Linked DNA regions of Drosophila melanogaster. The protein of the gene in region 3 interacts with the protein of the main gene of each other region in a pairwise test. Each region holds a gene or a part of one and is shown on either strand. Other genes may lie near its edges.

Region 1 (4,290 bases), on a different chromosome or scaffold from region 3:
TATATATATATATGTATATATCCCTACCCATCGACACTGTAGATATGTATACGCAGGAGTCACATAATCCCGACGAACACAAACGCACGAACACGACTTTTAGGGGCCCGAAACACAGTTAGCAACTTACTGTATTGTATTATGTATGAATTTTCCCGTGTACCATTACATTTTGTATATTTCTGCCTGCTGATCCCAAAAAGAAAAGGAAACGCATCGAGAATCCCAACAGTCCTTGCACTTCATACAGTTATACACACGAATGCACAAGAATCCTACAACTTTGCAACTTTAGGTTACTGTCAACTATTTAAAAAAAAAAATCAATGCCATTCACTTCTGGTTTCCCCTTTTTCCCTGATTTTCACCAGCACTTATGTTTATGCCTTTATTCACTGAACGTTGCTCGAACCTTTTTGTTGTTTGAAAATTATTGAATTATCATTTATTATATGTATTTCTCTATATACACGCGTTTATTTATTTATACTTATGTATACGCAATGAATTTCTGTTGAACATTAAAAGTTTAGTTTTACTCGTTGTTGCTTTTTTTCGGGGTTTGGTTTTTACTTTTCGCCATCTACTTTGTCTAGTTTATTTTATATATTTTTCGTGTTGTTGTAGTGTAGAAAAAATTAAAAACGCGCCGTTGGTATAAAAATGTTTTTCAGCTAATGCGATTTTAACGTTTTGCATGCGAACCAACAACTATTTTGGCCAAGTGCGCGCTGCCAAAGCAGAAGCTCTCGCTCAGCATCCCAAAAACCGATGGATGCCGATGGACGGATGCTTTCTGAGATACTCTGCGATACGCTCTCTCAGATACTCTTGCTCTCAGGCCTTTCGTACTGCAAGATACATCCGACGGTGGGCGCAAGCGAGATGCAGATACAATCCAAAGACTCCTGCTCATTGTTTTGATGCTGGCGCTTGCGCCATCTCCACTCCGCCGGAATTGCCAGATTCAATCCGGCGGACAGACAGTCACAGCGGCACTTGGCGCGCATTTTGAAACGATTTTCTCAGCATCTGGTTGAGCATCTTCGCTGGCGGGGTAATTAGCCCGCGTTTATGACTTAACTGGAAGCCCGAAATAGAAAACAGGCACAGCCGCAGCCACTCTAATCAGTGATCACGTGAAGCACTCGCGTGTTCCAAGAGCAGGAGGCAGGCGGATGCGGCAGGCCAGGCAGGCGAAACGAGCGGAACGCGCGGGCGGGGTATCGGGTGGCCTGGCAGGCAGACAACGCCGGCGGTCGCTGATAACGAGTGCCGCTCAAAAACTACAGTCTTCAAATAACATCTACAGTAGGCACTCGCTGACACAGAGACCTAGATTTATGGTGCACAAAAAAAAAGGTAAGCCATCATGCATATATGGACCTAAAGAAAACCCGAAATCCATCAAAGAAGCAAATATTATCCTTCAAAACTTCAGTCTAAACAACAAAGTGAACGTTAAATTATACTAATTATGTTCTAGTCAGAAGATTTATTGCCAATTTCAAAGCTGCTTTTTATTCCAGACTTAAATGGTTAGTACTTTCATAACAAATTTGATTCAAAATAGTAGAGACGTATATCTTGTTAAATAAATTGAATTTAATAACAGTTGTATATTTGCCCTAAAGTACCTTTTTAAGGAGGTTCCACTGCGCACTGTTCCGTGTTTTCAAAACAAAACCGCAGTGAACCCAAGGCAGCGATACTCTTTTCCATATCAACCGGCGATCAGGTCGATGGCGGCAAAGGCATTATGAAATCTTGAACCTCCCAACCGATCGCTATAAATATCGCAGGTCTCGTGCTAACGACTATCAGTGGCGGAGGAAACGTGCTGGGCAGCGTACAGCCAGCTCGTAAACTGAGAAACTCTAAAACTCAGAAGAAAGTATAGAAAAATGAGGCTGCAGCTCTTCTTTTTTCTCGGCCTGAGTGTTCTAGTCAGTGGAGGAGGCAAGTTCTTATATAGGTAGATCTGAGTAAATACTAAATACCAACCCAACTGTACCTGCAGAATCCTCACACGATGCCGAGAGGCGAATGCATCCGGTGTTCTCGCTTATGGGAACCGGATCGAATCCAATCGGAGGAGGTCGATACAAGCGAGCCATGCCCCAGATCGTTTTTGATGCCGTAAGATCAGAGGAGCGGTACGCCGAGTACTGGCAGGGTTTGGCGGCCCAAACACTGGATCAGCAGCTGGAGAGTAAGCTGCGATTGAACACCCAGCTGGCCAGGAATGTGATGCTCTTCATTGGCGACGGCATGTCCATACCGACAATCACGGCGGGTCGCGTTTACTTGGGCGGCGAGGAGAAGCAGTTCGCCTTCGAGCAATTCCCGTATGTGGGTCTCAGCAAGACCTACTGTGCCAATATGCAGGTGGCCGACTCCGCCTGCACCGCCACCGCCTATTTGGGTGGTGTCAAGGCCAACTATGGCACGATCGGAGTAAGTGCAGCGGTGCAGTTCAAGGATTGCCAGGCGCAGGCACAAGCCGCCCACCATGTCTCCTCCATTGCGGCCTGGGCGCAGAAGCAGGGAATGGCCACCGGACTGGTTACCACAACCTCCGTAACACATGCCTCACCAGCTGGAGTGTACGCCCACCTGGCCAACCGGAACTGGGAGAACGACGCCGAAGTGGTGGGAGACAATGGTGACCCCGATCTGTGTCCGGACGCAGCTGCCCAGCTGATAAACAGTCCGGTGGGTCAGAAACTTAATGTGATAATGGGCGGAGGTCGCGAGAATTTCCTGCCCAAAGGCGTGACTGATTCCAGTGGAGCGCCTGGTCGCCGTTTGGATGGCCGCAATCTCATCGACGAGTGGAAGAACCAGCACACGAACAGTGCTCAATATGTGGAGAATCGCAGGGAGCTGCTCAACCTATCCAATCACACTTCACGAGTACTGGGCTTGTTTGCCCCCTACCACATGGCCTACCATCTGGATGCTAGTCCAGCAGAGCAACCAACGCTGGAGGAGATGGTCCAGTCGGCCATGGAAATCTTGGAGCGCCAGAGTGCCGGACGCGGTTACTTCCTTTTCGTGGAGGGCGGTCGGATCGATCATGGTCACCACGACACCTTGGCTTTGAGGGCCATCGATGAAACGGCGGAGTTCGACAAAGCGGTGCGATTTGCCAGGAGTCACACGAGTACGGACGACACTTTAATAGTGGTCAGTTCGGATCACTCGCACACCATGTCGCTGGCGGGCTATTCCAGCAGAAAGAACGATATCTTCGGCATCAATGACGGACAGCTGGCGGCGGATGATCTTCCATATGCCACTCTGAGCTATGCCAATGGACCGGGCTATGATAGTAACTACCTCAGGGAAGGCGGCGCTGTGCGGAGGAAAAATCTGAGAGCCATCAATATGAAGAACAAGGACTTCATGTTCCCCAGCACAGTTCCCTTGGAATCGGAAACGCACGGTGGCGATGATGTGGCCGTTTTTGCTAGTGGACCGTATGCCCAGCTTTTCACCGGAGTTTTCGAGCAGCATTTCATACCTCACGCCCTTGGTTACGCCTCTTGCCTCAGTGATCGTAACATGTGCGTGGATGGGGGCGTGGCACGGAGACCACGCTGAAACTTGGCGGGGATCAAAGGTTAAGTGAAGCACAATGAGTCTAAGCGACAAACGTATTATTCTCGTTTAAGAGAGAAGCCACTAGAAGATAAGCAATCGTTTAAGGGGGATACTAAAATAAATAATTGAAATCTAAAAAAAGCATCGATTACTATTTGTGCCAATATTATACGACATTTATTTGCAGATAAGAGTCCGTTCCCGTGGTTATCTTATAATGTCGATTCTTTTTTGCACTTTAGAATTTGATAGCAAAATGTCGATTTTACGCGGGGAGGTTATCGATTGACATGTGTCAACTGCTTAAATTTTGTTTCCTTTTCAGTGTTGGCTAATATCAACATGTGACTGCTTGCATCCGCACTAACTGTGGTTTTTGTCTTTACTAAATCTAACAGCGTACTGTTGCCAACACTAAAATGTTAAATTATTTTAAAACTAACAGACGACTTGGCGCCAAATTTGAAATAAAATTAAAATGTTTTCGAATATAAAAGGGACAGACAACATTAATGACTAGGGTTTTATTGAAATATACATGGGGCTAATTGCTGGACATATCAGATTTAAATTATATTTTAATATGTATAAGTGTATATCATTTTCATTTTGTGCTGTTTTTATTTATCTTTTTACAATTAATGCCTTCTGGCTGCATATATAACATAAGGATTCACACAAGTG
Region 2 (5,418 bases), on a different chromosome or scaffold from region 3:
ATCAACACAACCTGCCATTTGGCTAACGGCATTATAAATGATGCCATAGAGGAAAAGTGACAGTCTCTGTCTCTGTGACTCTCCTCCAGTTGAGTCTCTCCAACTGTTGCAAGTTGCAGTTGCAATACTGCTGCTGGGTATCTTACTCGGTGCCTGGGTCTACGGTTTACGGTGTCGTCCTCCGTTTGGCGCCACTGGTCGTCACTGATTATGCCATTTCATAAAGCAAAATTCCGGCAGCGATTGTGCAGGAGTGGCCCCAAAATGCGGCCAAGGATCGCTTGCAACCGATGCAAAAATGCTGATTGCCATTTATAGATTATGTGCATAAATCAGGAAAAAAGCTAGCTATTACTTTGGGGGCTATGAGCCATGGAAAAGTTGCAAAACATTTTGCCAATCATAATTTTATCCATCACTCTTCTCTAACGCTAATTGTCATGGCCGGGGCGTAAATTATTAAATAAGAAAAGCAACCCAAAAACAACACTAAAACTTGCCAGAGATAAAAAAAAAAACAAATTGAAGAAATTCAAAATATTGCAAAAACAAAAAAACCAGAGGAGAAAAATTAAATAAAATGCCTGTACAGATGGGTCGACCCAACAAGAGCGTGAAGCTCATTATGAAGCTTCGTGTCCAAAACGCGGACAGCAATTACAAAAGCAACATAGCCAGTAAAACAATAACAATAACAGTAACAATAATAATAACAACAAGCCAGGCCAAGTCAACTCAAGCCAACACACAACACAACCCAAAACACCGAAAGAAGCTGGCTAACAAAAGGCCGAAAGAGCATGAAGAAATGAAATAAAACCAACACCAGATTCAGTCCCACTCCAGAGCACAAAACAAAGCTTAGCCCCATCCCATCTGATCCCAAACCATACCATACCATACTATACCAACCCATTCCCCAAAACGGCTGGCTAAATGAGAGTGAATCCACATTCATTGAAATTGAAAGTGAATCGTGCCACACGATCCGATCCAGAGTCCAGACTTGGTTACGAGTCCACTGCGATTGGATCCTCTAAATGACCAAAATAACAATTTACACACATTAGCTACATATATATAATAAAGCACATATATATATATATTTATATATAAATAACAGAAATCAGAGATTTTAGGAAAAACCATGTTTCTTTGGCAATCAGTTCGAAGGAGTTGTACTCTACAGCGAATCTATACAAATGTTTTAAATGGGCGAGGGAAAAAAATGCACAAGACATATTTATAAATTAAATATTACAAAATATGACTTGCCTTTAATAATTAAACTATCTAAGCTAAGAGAGGCATTTTCTTTTAATGATAAAAGAACAAAAGGCGTGATAAATTAATAATAAGAGAACAGATATTCTCAGATATTCTTAAATTAAGCAGGAAATCGTTAAAGCTGAGGTTACCGCAAAAAAGGCTTTTATTTTCTTGCCTTGAAAATAATGGACCCTTGAAATAAGCTACATTCCAGCAGCTAAGTGTCTTCAGAAATAAAAACCATAAAAAACTATTTGATGGCCTTGCTGCCTCAAGCTTTATTTTACATACATACACTGCACCTTTCAGGTTCCTTATTTTCCCCATGAAAATAATCCTAGTTGGGCAGAAAAACAGAAAAAAAAAAACAACCAACCACATGCTCGAAAAACCACGAAAAAGAAGTAGTTAATCGAAGGAGGAAAGCCAAAGCCAAGAAACGGTCAGCAGACGTTGCAGTTTCGGTTGGCTTTGCGGTCGCCGTTTGCATCGCAGCCAGGAGCTGCAGCCTCAGTTTCCCCACCAGATCATGACTGGCCAAACTTTGGACTTGGCTTAAACATTTCAATTTCTTCATGGCTACATGCTGCTGCCGCTCTTTGCCAACTGCTCAGCCAACTTGGCCGACTGCTCGGTCGACTGCGGCAGCAGCTGAGGCAGCTGAGGCGGCTAAAGCAGCAGCGGTCTTGATCGTCGTCTTGAATTTTACTTAATTTTTATTTCACGCGCTGCGCTGCTATAAAAGAAACTGCAACAATCGTTGTGGCATGCAGTAAGAGGTTCCGCGTCGAAGCAGCACCACATTGCCAGTAACCAGTAACCAGTAACAGCCAGTAGCACCTAGCCACCTGGAGCAGTGACAAAACCCGAAACGGATATACCCGAAATAAGCCACCCGAAAATGCATTCCAGTTGTGTGGTATGATCTTGTGACCAAACCGACCAAGTGGCCGTGATGGACATCGCTTAATGGTGTGTTCTCCTCCGATCTCGTTCGCAGTTAGTGGTCCTCATGGCCCTGGCTGCCCTGGTGGCCGCTCGTCCAGAGCCGCCTCGTGACTCGTACAGTGCGCCCCCCTCCAGCAGCTACCAGCCAAGTGGACCCAGCGGAGGCTACGGCGCCCCTGCGCCCCAGTACGGACCTCCCCAGCAGGCGCCGGTGATTCACAAGCACGTCTACGTCCATGTACCTCCACCAGAGCCGGAATACCAGGCACCCAGGTGAGTGGCAGGATCAAGGATCCTCTAAGCCAACATAAGTTCCAAAGATCGCGAGTAGAATAGGGTTCCCAATAAACCTATTCTTCAACCAAGTTCCGGAAAAGGATCTATGCATACTCGTTTAAAATTTTTGTCTATACTAGATGATAATTATATCAGACCTAAAAATGGAAAAAATCTTTAAAAATGTTATTTTAGACACATTCAGTTTAATCACAAAAGATACGTATTTAAGAGTTTAAGTAATAGTAAAATTATTTATTTTGCATAGTTTCACAAAATAGAAATCGCACTACACTCCCAACACAGTGAGTGAGTGAACAATCGAGAATTTCTTCTGATAAGCCGTACAATATAAACGTACATCCTGCGGTTTTTTTCATTTCACAACGTAATCAGTTCAAATTATTCACACCCCTTATCCAGCACACTTTTTTTTCGACTTGCGTGATTGTGAGCGGTTACAAACGATCTCGCTTTATTTGTCTTGTTCCACTTAAGATTGGAAAAATATGGGGAAAAAACACATTGTTGTGTTATGAGTATATAATCCAAGGCACTTATGCAGATTCTCTCACAATTCATCGGCGTAAACCAGGCAGTGCCGTCAACTCCCAAAGATAATAACTAGACAAATGTTGCAAGAGACCAGCCGGCAATCATCTAATCCAGCTCAGGGCCCTTTTCCACAGCTGTTGCCACATTTCCAGGGTATTTAGAGGGTCGCTTAAACGGAGGAGGAACATTATTTAATACCCGCGAAAACGAAAGCCATCCAACTTTCCTCTCTTTTCGCTGATACAATGTTTTCTGTCGTCTTCTGTCTGTTTTCAATTGGAGTTGGAAGCGATGTTAATTACCACGAGAGGGGAATGATATGGCTTTGCAGACCGCCAAACCGTGACTAAAACGTTACCTAAGCTCGCCGCAGCACTTGTACTCGTATATATCTCAGTACCATTTCCAAGCAAATTATCAGGCGCAGAGGGACAGGAACTCGATTACCATAGGTAGCTTTATGTAAACCCTCGTCTCGAGGCGGTTGTTGTGACAATCGCTGTCATCGTCACAATAGTCATCATCTTCATCTGATTAGTAAAACTGACAAGCAGCTGCAGTGGGTTCAACGTTGTCGGGAGGTCACCATTTTCGGGAGGTCACCATTTATGGGCATGCCATTTGCATGCACCTCAAAGAGAAACTCCTTTCTCCCGCATCGCGGTATTTGTTCGTTCAACAAGGCAAGGTTATAGGAAGTGTGGAAAGTCATTCCAGCCTGGCCGTGTGTAATTGAAATTTTTTTATTCAGTATGTAAATTTTTACAAGCCGGAAGCAAAAAAAGTTGCGTTATATGAGGATGTGGTGTCTTACTTTACCCATAGAATTCCTAAGAAATTCCTTAAATACAGATATAGCAGAACCTTTATTTAAATACATTTTTAAATATTTTCCCAGGAAACCCCTTTACGTGCCACCTCCGCAGAAGCACTACAAGATCGTCTTCATCAAGGCGCCATCTCCACCAGTACCGACCGCCCCTGTAATACCGCAGTTCCCACAGAACGAAGAGAAGACCCTGGTGTACGTGCTAGTCAAGAAGCCGGAGGAGCAGCCGGAGATCATTATCCCAACGCCAGCTCCCACCCAACCCAGCAAGCCGGAGGTGTACTTCATCCGCTACAAGACCCAGAAGGAGGAGACCGGACCCTATCCCAACAGTGTGGCGCCTCCAGCGCCCGAGTACGGAGCTCCAGCTGCCCCGCCCGCACCCTCTGCTCCCAGCAGCTCGTATGGGGCACCATCCCACTAGGCGATCCAGTCCAACCCGAATACCGATTTGCTTATCTCAACCCAACTCATGGCAAACTGCATATCTTATGTGTATTGTATTATTTTCTGTTTCAAGGACCTTAACGCGTGACAAAGTTTACCAAGCAACGAATCTCCCCCATCCCCTCTCCACACCCAGCTCATAGGATTATTACTCCTATAGATGAGTAATTCTTATCTCTGATGTTGTTTCTACCTGATGTACGAGAAGTATGTTTTCCATCTAGGCTGTTTGTTTCAAATTGTTTGTTTAGTCTTAAGTCTAGGTCTTTAAGCGAACGATGCGTTATACACTCACACAAAACACTCGAAACACTCACTGCGAGCTAGCCTTAGTTATCGATAGAGATATCGATCCTGATACCGATTAACGATATATACGTGGTACATGATTTTCATCACAAACGCATTTTCAAGTAGGCAATTTATTCCAATTTCATATTGCACATTTCGCACACGATTTGTCATTAAATAGAATGTGCGAAGCACTCGAAATGCAACAAAAAAAAATGAAGATTAAAATGATACTCAAGTATATAATGTTAAAAACACAAAACATCAATGGCTAAATAAAAGTTTAACGAATTATCTGTACAAGATGGATTTCTTTTTGTATGTTTCACATTGCAAGTCTTAACATATGTGTACATATATTTATATATATCTGTTTACTATACATTTTCATTTGCCTCGCAAATGTATTTGAAATCAGAAGTACAAGAAGCAACCCACATGCCACCGTTATGTATAGAAACGCAACGCTGATCTACATGTTCGTATAGTGGCTCTCCAGGATTCCATTTCAAAAAAGGTGCTCTCTTTCCGGAGGACACAGATATGAAAACGCCCTTTTCAGCCAGATCACTAATGCCAATCATATAAGTGTTGTCTTTGCTTAGTTGCGAAACGATAGCATTAAAGTCTGCTTCATTTATAATTGAGGCTAGATTACCTCCCATCTTTTGACATGCGCTCAAAGCACTGGTCCAATTTTGTTGGACTATGTCTTCGATGTGCAAATATCTCGATCCGATTCGCTTGAACCTATGTAAAATATTTATTTTCGCAGACATATTCTTCAGCGACGTCGTTATACT
Region 3 (4,819 bases):
TGGCCACATATTTCCCTCGCTGTCGTGGGCGTCCACGGCCGAAACGGACTCAGAATCAGTCTCAGATTCAGTCTCAGATTCAGTCTCAGATTCAGATTCAAATTCAGAAACAGAATGCGAAACAGAAACCTTGGGCAGACACACCAGACAGCGGCAGCTGACAGGAAAATAAATAAATAAAGGGATGAAAATTAAGGACGCGAGAGTCGTGGTCGTCGGCTGGCTGGCTGACTGGCTGGCTGGCTGGCTCTCCAAAGACCGAATGCGCAGCCTCCGACTAGACGGCATTCCAAAGATGGGAACTGCAGACATGTGTGCGGATGTGGATCTGTGGGCCAATAAAATGAGTTATTCCTCTTGCCAGCCACACAATTTTTTGTCTGCTGACTAATGATTGCACTCATTGTGCAACTTTGCCAATTAAAACTTGATTAAAACTATTCCCGATCAAATGGAGTAACAACAGCACGGAAAGCTGAAGCTCCATCGTATAGTGTTTCCCAATTTATTCGTTTTGACAAAACTTTCATTATTATGTTTCTCAAAAAGTTGGCTCACTCCATGATACCGACAAGTTTTTTTGGCAGTATCTGACTCACTAGCATTGGGCAGCATTTTGTAGTTTTACACACGCAGAAAAGATTTACTCATACAAAGCCGCGTTTTGTAAATGATTTCAACTGTTGTGAATTCTGAATATCCTGACTATTTATTGAACAGGCAACAAGTCAAGCCTTGATTGATTATATCAAATCGTAGGTCATGGCTTCTAATCTGGTGCAGAGCCATAAGTTTGCCACTCGAAGAAAAATTCAAGGATTCCGGAAACTAATCAAATACCAAATGTTTGTTAACAGGATATGAAAAAATAATGTTTTCCCTAGCATAACCAGTTTTAAAAGATTTTTTTCAGTCCGTTAAATGTATGCAAAGAAAACTGTATTGTATTCAAACCATTCATCTTTAGTTTCCCTCACAAGTTCATTCCTTTTTCTTCGTGTGTATAGCAGCATTGTTATTTGACCTAATCTGTGTCTTTGCCCCATTGTTTTGCCGCGTTTTGATTTGTGCCCCCAATAAGTCCATCTGGAGTCAATGTGCTACCAAACGATAGGGAAGTTCGAGCTTCGAAGGATGCGTGGTGGTAGGTAGGGCGATCTAATCGCGGAGCTCTTCTCCTTTATGGATCAGCAAACATTTGGGCGTTGTCACACTCGCGAATGCGGAATTCCGACACCATTTCTTTGATTGATAAACAAATTGCCCGCTGCTTGTTTACTTTACTGCCAGCGCAGATTTCTCACGAGTTAACCAACCATTAAACGAGAACTCACAAACTCAAGGACTCAGCAGGGGGAATCATCCTGGAATCACTTTGCCATCATCTCAAATCCGGTTACGTGTTTCGTTTGGCTGGCATGGGATTATGCGGTGGATTTAATTGTTTAAAAACAATCGAAAGCACTGGGGCACGTTGAGATTTGAATTGCCGTGCACAACTGCGGGTGGTTAGATGGGTCAATGGCAACGCATGCCCAGACCCCCAAATAATTGTGAACAAATGTGTCTTCAGTTGGCGTTGGTGGAGGAGCGCACCATTGCAAGCGACGCTGAAAAAGGCGATGATGTCCTGACACACTTCGAATTGCCAGAGTCCTTTTGCCAAAAAAAAAAAAAAAAAAAAAATTCCAAATTCCTTCGCATGCCAATGGAGCGGCATGGACAGAGAAGGGATGACGAGATGGAGAGACGGTGAGACGTCGAGATGGAGAGAGGATATCCAGATATGCATTGGAATACAAAGTGTGGGATAAAAGCATTTCTGTATCGCTATTATTCATTGGTCATGCGCAGTCAGCCGCGCCTCATTTCCGCTCGAGAGTCGGGAGTTGGACCATATTCGCAATAATAGTAAGTATGTTGGGCATGTGGTGTGTGTTTTGGACCAAGTATACATTTTCCCCTCCCCCGTATAATTACGGCCATAAAGCAATCCAACTATCCAGCTAGCCAAACTATTTCAGTTCCATCTGCCAGAGTTTGGAATCCTTGAGGCCATGTACATATACCGAAATATACTATATATATATATATATATGCATGGGATGTGTAGCGATTTTTGATAGATATAAAATACATAAACGTAATTGCGGTACTCACCAATGGAAATTCGGGAAATTCGAAAAAAATCAAAACCAGAATCCATTGAAACAGTAGTTGGAGAGTAGTTATGAATTATTTGTTATCCGTTTTGCGTTTAAGTTTGCTTTTAAGTTTACATTGTACTGCTTTATGAACACACTCAGTTTGTTATTTTGGCCAAACAGTAAAAAAAATATGCAAAAAATTTTCATAAAATATGTATTTTATGATCTTTTCATCCTTACGCCATCAGCATATACATATACACGCATATATGTGCACATATATAGACATATATATATATTTATTCTATTTTTGTATTTTCCATATTTGATTTGAATGTGCTGATTTAGTAGCCGATTTTAGAGCTGCGTTGCGTTGCGTTTCGTTACGTTACTATATCAAACATTTGATTCTGAGTAGTTATTTGTTGGGTTTTCACATTTTGCCCACCCGTTCGGCATTTCGTTTTTCCTCTTTTCTTTTACTTTTTTCCATATATATATATATATACATATATATATACGCGTATGTATATATATATATTCTAAGTTCACGGTGTGTTGGGATTTGAAAACGAATTTCTTTGTTAATATATATATATATATATATATATATGTATATACTTTTGCCTGGGCTGGTTGTTCAGTTGTGTTTCTGGGGTATTTGTTGGATCTTTTTGGGCGCCGACTCGGGGATTATTCCTCAATAAACTATTGCTCCGCTGGCTGCGAACTATACGGCTATTTCCTGCATCTGCACTCTTTTCTGCTGCTTTCGTATTTCGTTTTGTTTGTTTGTTTGTTTTTTTTTTTTTTTGGTTTTTGTATGTTTTTTGTGTTTTTTGTATTAATTTATTTTATTTTTTTATTGCTGCTGCTGCTTCTTCTATTAAAAACTATCGCCGTGTCTCGTGCCTCGCTAACCGCTTTCCGCAATTGCAAACAACGTTCTAAAGCTCTCGAACACGTCTGCAGGATTTTGGCCAGGCGAAAAACGATTGCCTCCAACCGGAGGCAAACCAGGCAGCCAACCCAGTCGACCAGCCATTCTTCAGTCAGCCAAATACGACGCAGTCGCAGAGCACCGGAATCTCAACTGGGAGATTCCCAATCCCGGCCATCCCATCCCATACCAATATATCTCAAACCAAGCCCAGCCGAGTGGCCACATCTCTCGCTCTCCGCTTCTATTGTCACGTCACAATTCAGCATCTTGGCTCTCTCGGGCTGTGTGGGCCACATCCTTTTGGTCCTCGGATGGATGTTGGTTGGTGTTCGGCACTCAGCCGCTGGCTCTCTCGCCGAAAGTCGGTAAAAAAAAAATCCACTCCTTGGCCCCAACGAGTCTTACAATCCGGGTACGTCTGTTTATGTCCGTTATGTGGAGCAAAAGGGTATATTGTATTCGTGCAAAGGTGCGTAATTGTAAAAGGAAGTGTAGTATACACCTACGCCTCTACATACGTTTCCATCTAGCCGTGTCTGTCTGTCTCTCTGTATCTCTGTCTGGCTGCCTGTCTATCTGGCCGTCGAGATCTTGGCCAGAACAATGGACAGAGAACTGGGTCCACACTGTTCCACGCCACAGATTGGCCACGCCCCCGTCGTCTAATTGAATGAAGCTATATCCTTCTTACGCCCAGCTAGCAGTGACCTGATTTAAATTAACTGGTTTCGAAATGAAGTTTGGGCGAATGAAAGCCTAAAAATAAATACAGACCGCATTGTTAGCCAACATACATAAATGGAAAATCATGGAAAATTACAATGAAATAATATGTATAAGAAATTGAAAAAAAAATATATATATATCTAAAAGTGTTACGGATTTCAGGCGCAGGTTGCATGTTTATACTTTTAGTTTTGCTTTTTAATTTGAATATATTAAATTGAAAACAAAATTGAAATATGTGCACCTGTTTACCTGTTTATTTTTCGAGAGCAAAACGCACTTTGTTCTTCAAAATAAAGCAAAATTAAAATACACACAAGTAGTATAGTTTAATGGATTTCACAGGCACACACCTCCTTGGAAAATGCGTTTGATCAAAATTTCATATTCGGCACTTAATGAGGTGGTAAGTATATGCCTTGTGTGCAAACGCTTTCTAAAATATTTACTGTGCAATTAGGGTAAATGATTAAAAAAGTGGTAATTTTAGGGCGCAGTTGGTAAGCTATAAATGAAAGAAATGCCTTAAGATGTACCTAGTGCTGTGGCATTTATCAGATAGTCATGTTCTATTCGTATCCCTACAAAGCACTTAGCTTTCCCATTCAGTGCGTTTGGCTGAAACTGAATGGTTCTTGGCCATTAACCGAATCATCGAGGCCATGGAGGAGCCAATCCTTATTGGCCACCGCCTACATCGTGTGGGCGTGGTACGTCATTGCATCTGTGGGCATAACAATCAGCTATCAGACGGCCTTTTTGCTGAACAACCTTTCGGACATTATTATCACCACGGAAAATTGTTGCACCACCTTTATGGGTGTCCTGAACTTTGTCCGACTCATCCATCTTCGCCTCAATCAGAGGAAATTCCGCCAGCTTATTGAGAACTTTTCCTACGAAATTTGGATACCTAAGTGAGTCGATTCATTAGGGTTATTATAAGCGATGTTAAATGATCATCGCATTAAACTGCAGAGCATTGAAAACTATAGAGGTTTGC
Region 4 (4,426 bases), on a different chromosome or scaffold from region 3:
GTTTTGAGGAGGACCGGCTGGTGTGCCTGGCCCAAACGTTCGTCAACATGGAGTTCATGGGCTGCAAGTATCCAAGCGCGACGATGCTTTTGGTGGCCGAGTTGTCCAAGGAAATCGCAGCGGATTTCCGTCAGAAACGGGAACAGCGCCTGAAGAGAACATTTGTCTCGGCGTCGGATGCGGCGGAGCAGCGCGCCAAAGGTAGACGACTGAACAATTAGTGGGCCCATAGGCGAGAGAAGATTCTTTTTATCACTAGTAACTATACGAGCCAGAGAGACCAAAGCCTAATGCCTAATTCCAACTACTAGGGCGCCGGGCTCCACCCCTTCCCTCGACGAGCTCCCCAGAGGATAGCTCACACATAAAACGCCAGTGTTTTGGCGGCGGAGATCCAGTCGATCTCTATCAAGATCTGCGTTTCGGTCGGCTCATTGTGTACTTGGCTGGGGGACGAGCCTGCCTGCAAAACTCCTGCAACATTGCGAATGTCAAGTACGAAGAGCGTGTCAGCCGAGATCAGCCATTAAGCGATAATACAAAATACGCCGAATTATTAGTAAATGATGAGGTAATAGCGACAGGACAGGGGGAGAGCCTTAAGGCGGCCAAGAAAGCTGCCTATAAGCAGGCGCATTTGACGATCCAGTCCTATTGCTATAGTATTAAGGTATGAAATTTCTGAAATAATGTATGCCTTATTAAACCCGGTACTACGCTACACAGCTGAATGCCACGCGCGACACCATCAAGGTGGAAAAAAACAAGGACGGCGTCAACATCAAAGTCACCAATGAGTCCGCCGACAGTCCGTGCGATCCCAAATTGGACCCCAGCAACAAGGGATATCGCATGATGCGACTGATGGGCTGGACAGGCGGTGGCTTAGGGCGACTGAAGCAGGGACGTGAAGAGCCCGTATGGTAAGAGTTCGACTTTTAACGTATCACCAAACGAAACTATTTTATTTTATATTTTCAGTTATCTGCTAAAGAACAATCGTAATGGTCTTGGATTAATAAATCCAAAGGGAAATTTCGCTGATTACCGACGGCTTATAGAAAACTATGTGAGATCGGACGATATACGTGACATGCAGTTTGAGCCCACGTTTTCGAAGGAAGAAAGAACCACGCTTCACCAGTAAGCACCGTCATCCCACATCGTAAAAAATAATTGCTTATTATGTTGGCATTTCCCTTTACAGAATCGCCAGACAATTTGGCTTGCGTTCCGCTAGCTATGGGAGTGGAGAGAGCCGGCGCCTTTTGATTACCAAGAAGATCGACTATGGCACAATACTGACTGAGGTCCTGCTTCGGCGGAACCCCAAGTTTTGTGATCGTTACTTTGTGCACGTACCCATGCAGAAGGCGCACCTGTTTCCTGGTCATGTGGCCGACCTGGAGATGAACGATGTATGTGAATAGGCAGGACGAACAAAATCTCAGCTCATAGTACTCTTATAAAAAGATCTTTATTCTTAGTTTTAATATAAAGGATGTAAAATATATGAAAAGTATTTCTGACCGTGTACTTTGTTTACGTTTCGTGCTGAATGGCTGCGAGAAAGAAGAAGCATAGCTGCAATTTTAGTCTCCTGTATGTGCGATTTCAATGCATTTAGAATTTAGCAATGAATAAATGTCCTCGCTGCAACTGCGATGCTACAGGACAGAATCGCCTCGTCACCGACAGCTGTGGACACACCAAGTGTCGTCTCTGCCTGGTGGCGGATGTATCGGATTGCCTGGAATGTCGAGTTGCACGAAGTGTCGATATCCAGGAGACACAGGAAACGCAAGCAAGGACGTCGGCTGATAAGCGAATAATTGTCACAGATAAGGGCTACCACTGTACCGTCTGCAATAAGGATTTTCGCAGCCGGACCCAGCAGTATTACCACCTCACCTGCGGCAACGATCTTCTCAAGAAGTTCAACTGCAAGGAGTGCGGACGCGTGAGTTGCAGCATGTACTTATGCTGTGTGTAGTTTTCATGACTGAGATTTCCTTCCAGAGATTTGCTACCAGTTCACATTTAAAGTACCATCTAATGAGCCATGAGAAACAATCAAAACACTCGTGCAGCGTCTGCCACAAAAGTTTCAAGCAACCAATTGTTCTACAGCGCCACATGCTTACCCACAACCAGGAGAAGCATTTGTGCCCAATCTGCCAGAAGGTTTTCCGCCGCAAGAGCTCTCTTGCCAGCCACCTGGCGATCCACAGCGATCTCGGCCTGCAATTTAAATGCGAGCTCTGCTCTAAGCATTTCCAGAACAAGGCCAATTTGAACCAGCATCTGCGGAAACACGACAAGAACAATATTCGGCACATGTGTAAAGTGTGCCAGAAGTCCTTTCTGCGACAAACCACGCTTCGGCTGCACATGAAGCGCCACTCAAATCGCGAACGTCAGTCCTGTTCCCTGTGCGGCAAAAGCTACAATGATCCGGATGCTCTGGGCCGACATTTAAGACAACACAAGACTGCCGAACGCTACCGCTGTATCCAATGTGACATCACTATCAACCGAAAGGACAACATGCTGCGACATCTGCGATCCATGCACCCTGGTTGTGCGTTTGCCAGTACTGTTGAAATGGTTACACCGAGGTCCAGTGCTCAGGAGGCCACGACGGCGGAAGAAAGACCATCTCAGACTGTAAGATACAACAGTGTGATCCAGAGTGTGGGCAACGTTGAGCCAGTGATGTTGCTGCAATCTACGCCACTGCCATCTCAACTCCCTGAACTGCAGATGGAGAAAGGGAAAGCTGTCCCAGAGCATCTGCCTCTGCCAGATGTAATGCCAGAGGAGAATGTCCAGCTGTATCGCAAGATCATCTTGGATCTGGACAACGAGGAATACTCTAGCGAACCTAGCCCCGATGCCCAAGAACCAGCCATGCAACATCACCAGCCGCGTGTCCCGGGGCAAGGTAGCTCCAAATTTAGCGAGATGCACTGGCGCAAGAATTTCAAATATTGGTACCAAAAAGAAGAAAACACAAAGTGACGATATGATCTCTAATGAGTTGGCCCTTTTTCAAAGGGGTCCTCTAATTTATTAGAGATCAGTCAGGTGCTGCGAACCGAAGCGAACCGCAGCAATCTTGTTGGCCGCTAGCCATATTTCCGCGTGCCGGCGTCACTGCCAAGTTCACCGGCCATCGGAAGCAGCAAGACCGCTTAATTTGCAACTAACAGTATTCAATATGATGGACGAGCAATCGGAACTCGAGACACTGCGTGAAATTTATTACCTAACTGATGATGCGTCGTGCAACTGGCGCAAGTTGCTTGTCCTGGGCGACTGCCTGGACCAACAGCTCAAGCGCAAGCTGCTCTGGATGTGGCCGACATCGGTGGACTTGGACTACTTTAATCAGCTGCTAGCCATGCACGACATCCAGCGAGTTTTGAGCATCGGCTGCGGCAGTGGGCTTTTGGAATGGCTTATGACAGTGTCTGGAGGTCGGAAAGTCCCCATGTTTGGCTTGGAGGTCGATCGCAACTGGTGGCAGAGCAAGTACTCCGTTCGAAGTTTTATACCGCTTAACTATTTAGAGGATGCCAGCCAACTGGATACGGATTTATTGACCAAATGCTGCAGTGACGTTCATCCGTGTGCCTTGCTCTTCTGCTACTTCAACAATCGAGGAGCTTTTCTGGACTATCTAAATGTGTATCAAGGAAAGTGGCTTATATTGATTGGACCATTGCCCGCCCTGGGAATCCACACAGATCCCAATCCCGCCCAGCCCCAACTGCCCATCGACCAGTGGATCCTGCGAGAACGCCTTAACTGGACTGACCACAACATTGTGGCATTCTACGAAAAGATAGCCTAGTCTAGTCTGTAGTATCTCTATAATTGTAGTAATAAACCATTGCCTTACATCCTAATTAGTTCCTGTTCACTTCTATGTGAAACTTGCAGGCGGGTATGCTTTGCACTTCGGCCGTCACGGTGCTGTTAATGCCTAGATTGCTGAGAGCTCCTCGCACCAGCCCGCACGTGAAGGCCACGAACTTGGGCGCGTGCTCCAGCTGCTTGGTGCCCGGCGAGATGCGAGTCAGAAAGCGGAAAGCCTTGTCCTGCACAACGTACATTCCGTGGTTGTTCGTCCTCAGGTTGTCCACTTGCTTCTTGTATATAAGCATCCAGAAGTCGGTGCATATAAACTTCATAGTCTCCAACTCGTCCTTAAAACGCGAAACTTCACGGGTGAGCCGCTCAATCAGGCGGTAGCCGGTGGTGAAGCCTATATACTCCAAAGTGGCCAGGTCGTGCTCCTAATAGGCGGAACCAAATCAAAATCGGTTGTATGACTGATTTTTTTTTGCGTCCCTCGTGTTCCTACCTTATTGCTATCCAGACAATAATTGACTATCTCTGCATGGAGGCAATCGAAAAGGAT

The links.
Region 1: the proteins of mmd (region 3) and phu interact in a two-hybrid assay, tested with the Drosophila melanogaster proteins (one large-scale study listed by BioGRID).
Region 2: the proteins of mmd (region 3) and TwdlE interact in a two-hybrid assay, tested with the Drosophila melanogaster proteins (one large-scale study listed by BioGRID).
Region 4: the proteins of mmd (region 3) and CG42726 interact in a two-hybrid assay, tested with the Drosophila melanogaster proteins (one large-scale study listed by BioGRID).

The regions. Positions count from the first base shown.
Region 1 is NT_033777.3:9,492,984-9,497,273, forward strand, and holds phu (phurba tashi), read left to right. Parts: upstream 1-1,817; 5' UTR 1,818-1,904; coding exon 1,905-1,959; intron 1,960-2,020; coding exon 2,021-3,606; 3' UTR 3,607-3,740; downstream 3,741-4,290.
Region 2 is NT_033779.5:7,857,453-7,862,870, reverse strand, and holds TwdlE (TweedleE), read left to right. Parts: upstream 1-2,031; 5' UTR 2,032-2,170; coding exon 2,171-2,188; intron 2,189-2,269; coding exon 2,270-2,490; intron 2,491-2,750; exon of another isoform or gene 2,751-3,946; coding exon 3,947-4,301; 3' UTR 4,302-4,914; downstream 4,915-5,418.
Region 3 is NC_004354.4:15,970,045-15,974,863, forward strand, and holds the start of mmd (mind-meld), read right to left. Parts: upstream 3,024-4,819; 5' UTR 2,161-3,023; intron 1-2,160. Other genes in the region: Or13a (odorant receptor 13a), read left to right, coding at 4,381-4,733.
Region 4 is NT_033777.3:15,346,483-15,350,908, forward strand, and holds CG42726 (uncharacterized protein), read left to right. Parts: upstream 1-1,565; 5' UTR 1,566-1,636; coding exon 1,637-1,960; intron 1,961-2,019; coding exon 2,020-3,021; 3' UTR 3,022-3,220; coding exon of another isoform or gene 3,221-3,856; 3' UTR 3,857-3,909; downstream 3,910-4,426. Other genes in the region: CG31301 (uncharacterized protein), read left to right, coding at 1-201, 312-670, 727-923, 982-1,143, 1,208-1,430; CG42727 (uncharacterized protein), read left to right, coding at 3,221-3,856; Trs33 (TRAPP subunit 33), read right to left, coding at 3,912-4,301, 4,370-4,426.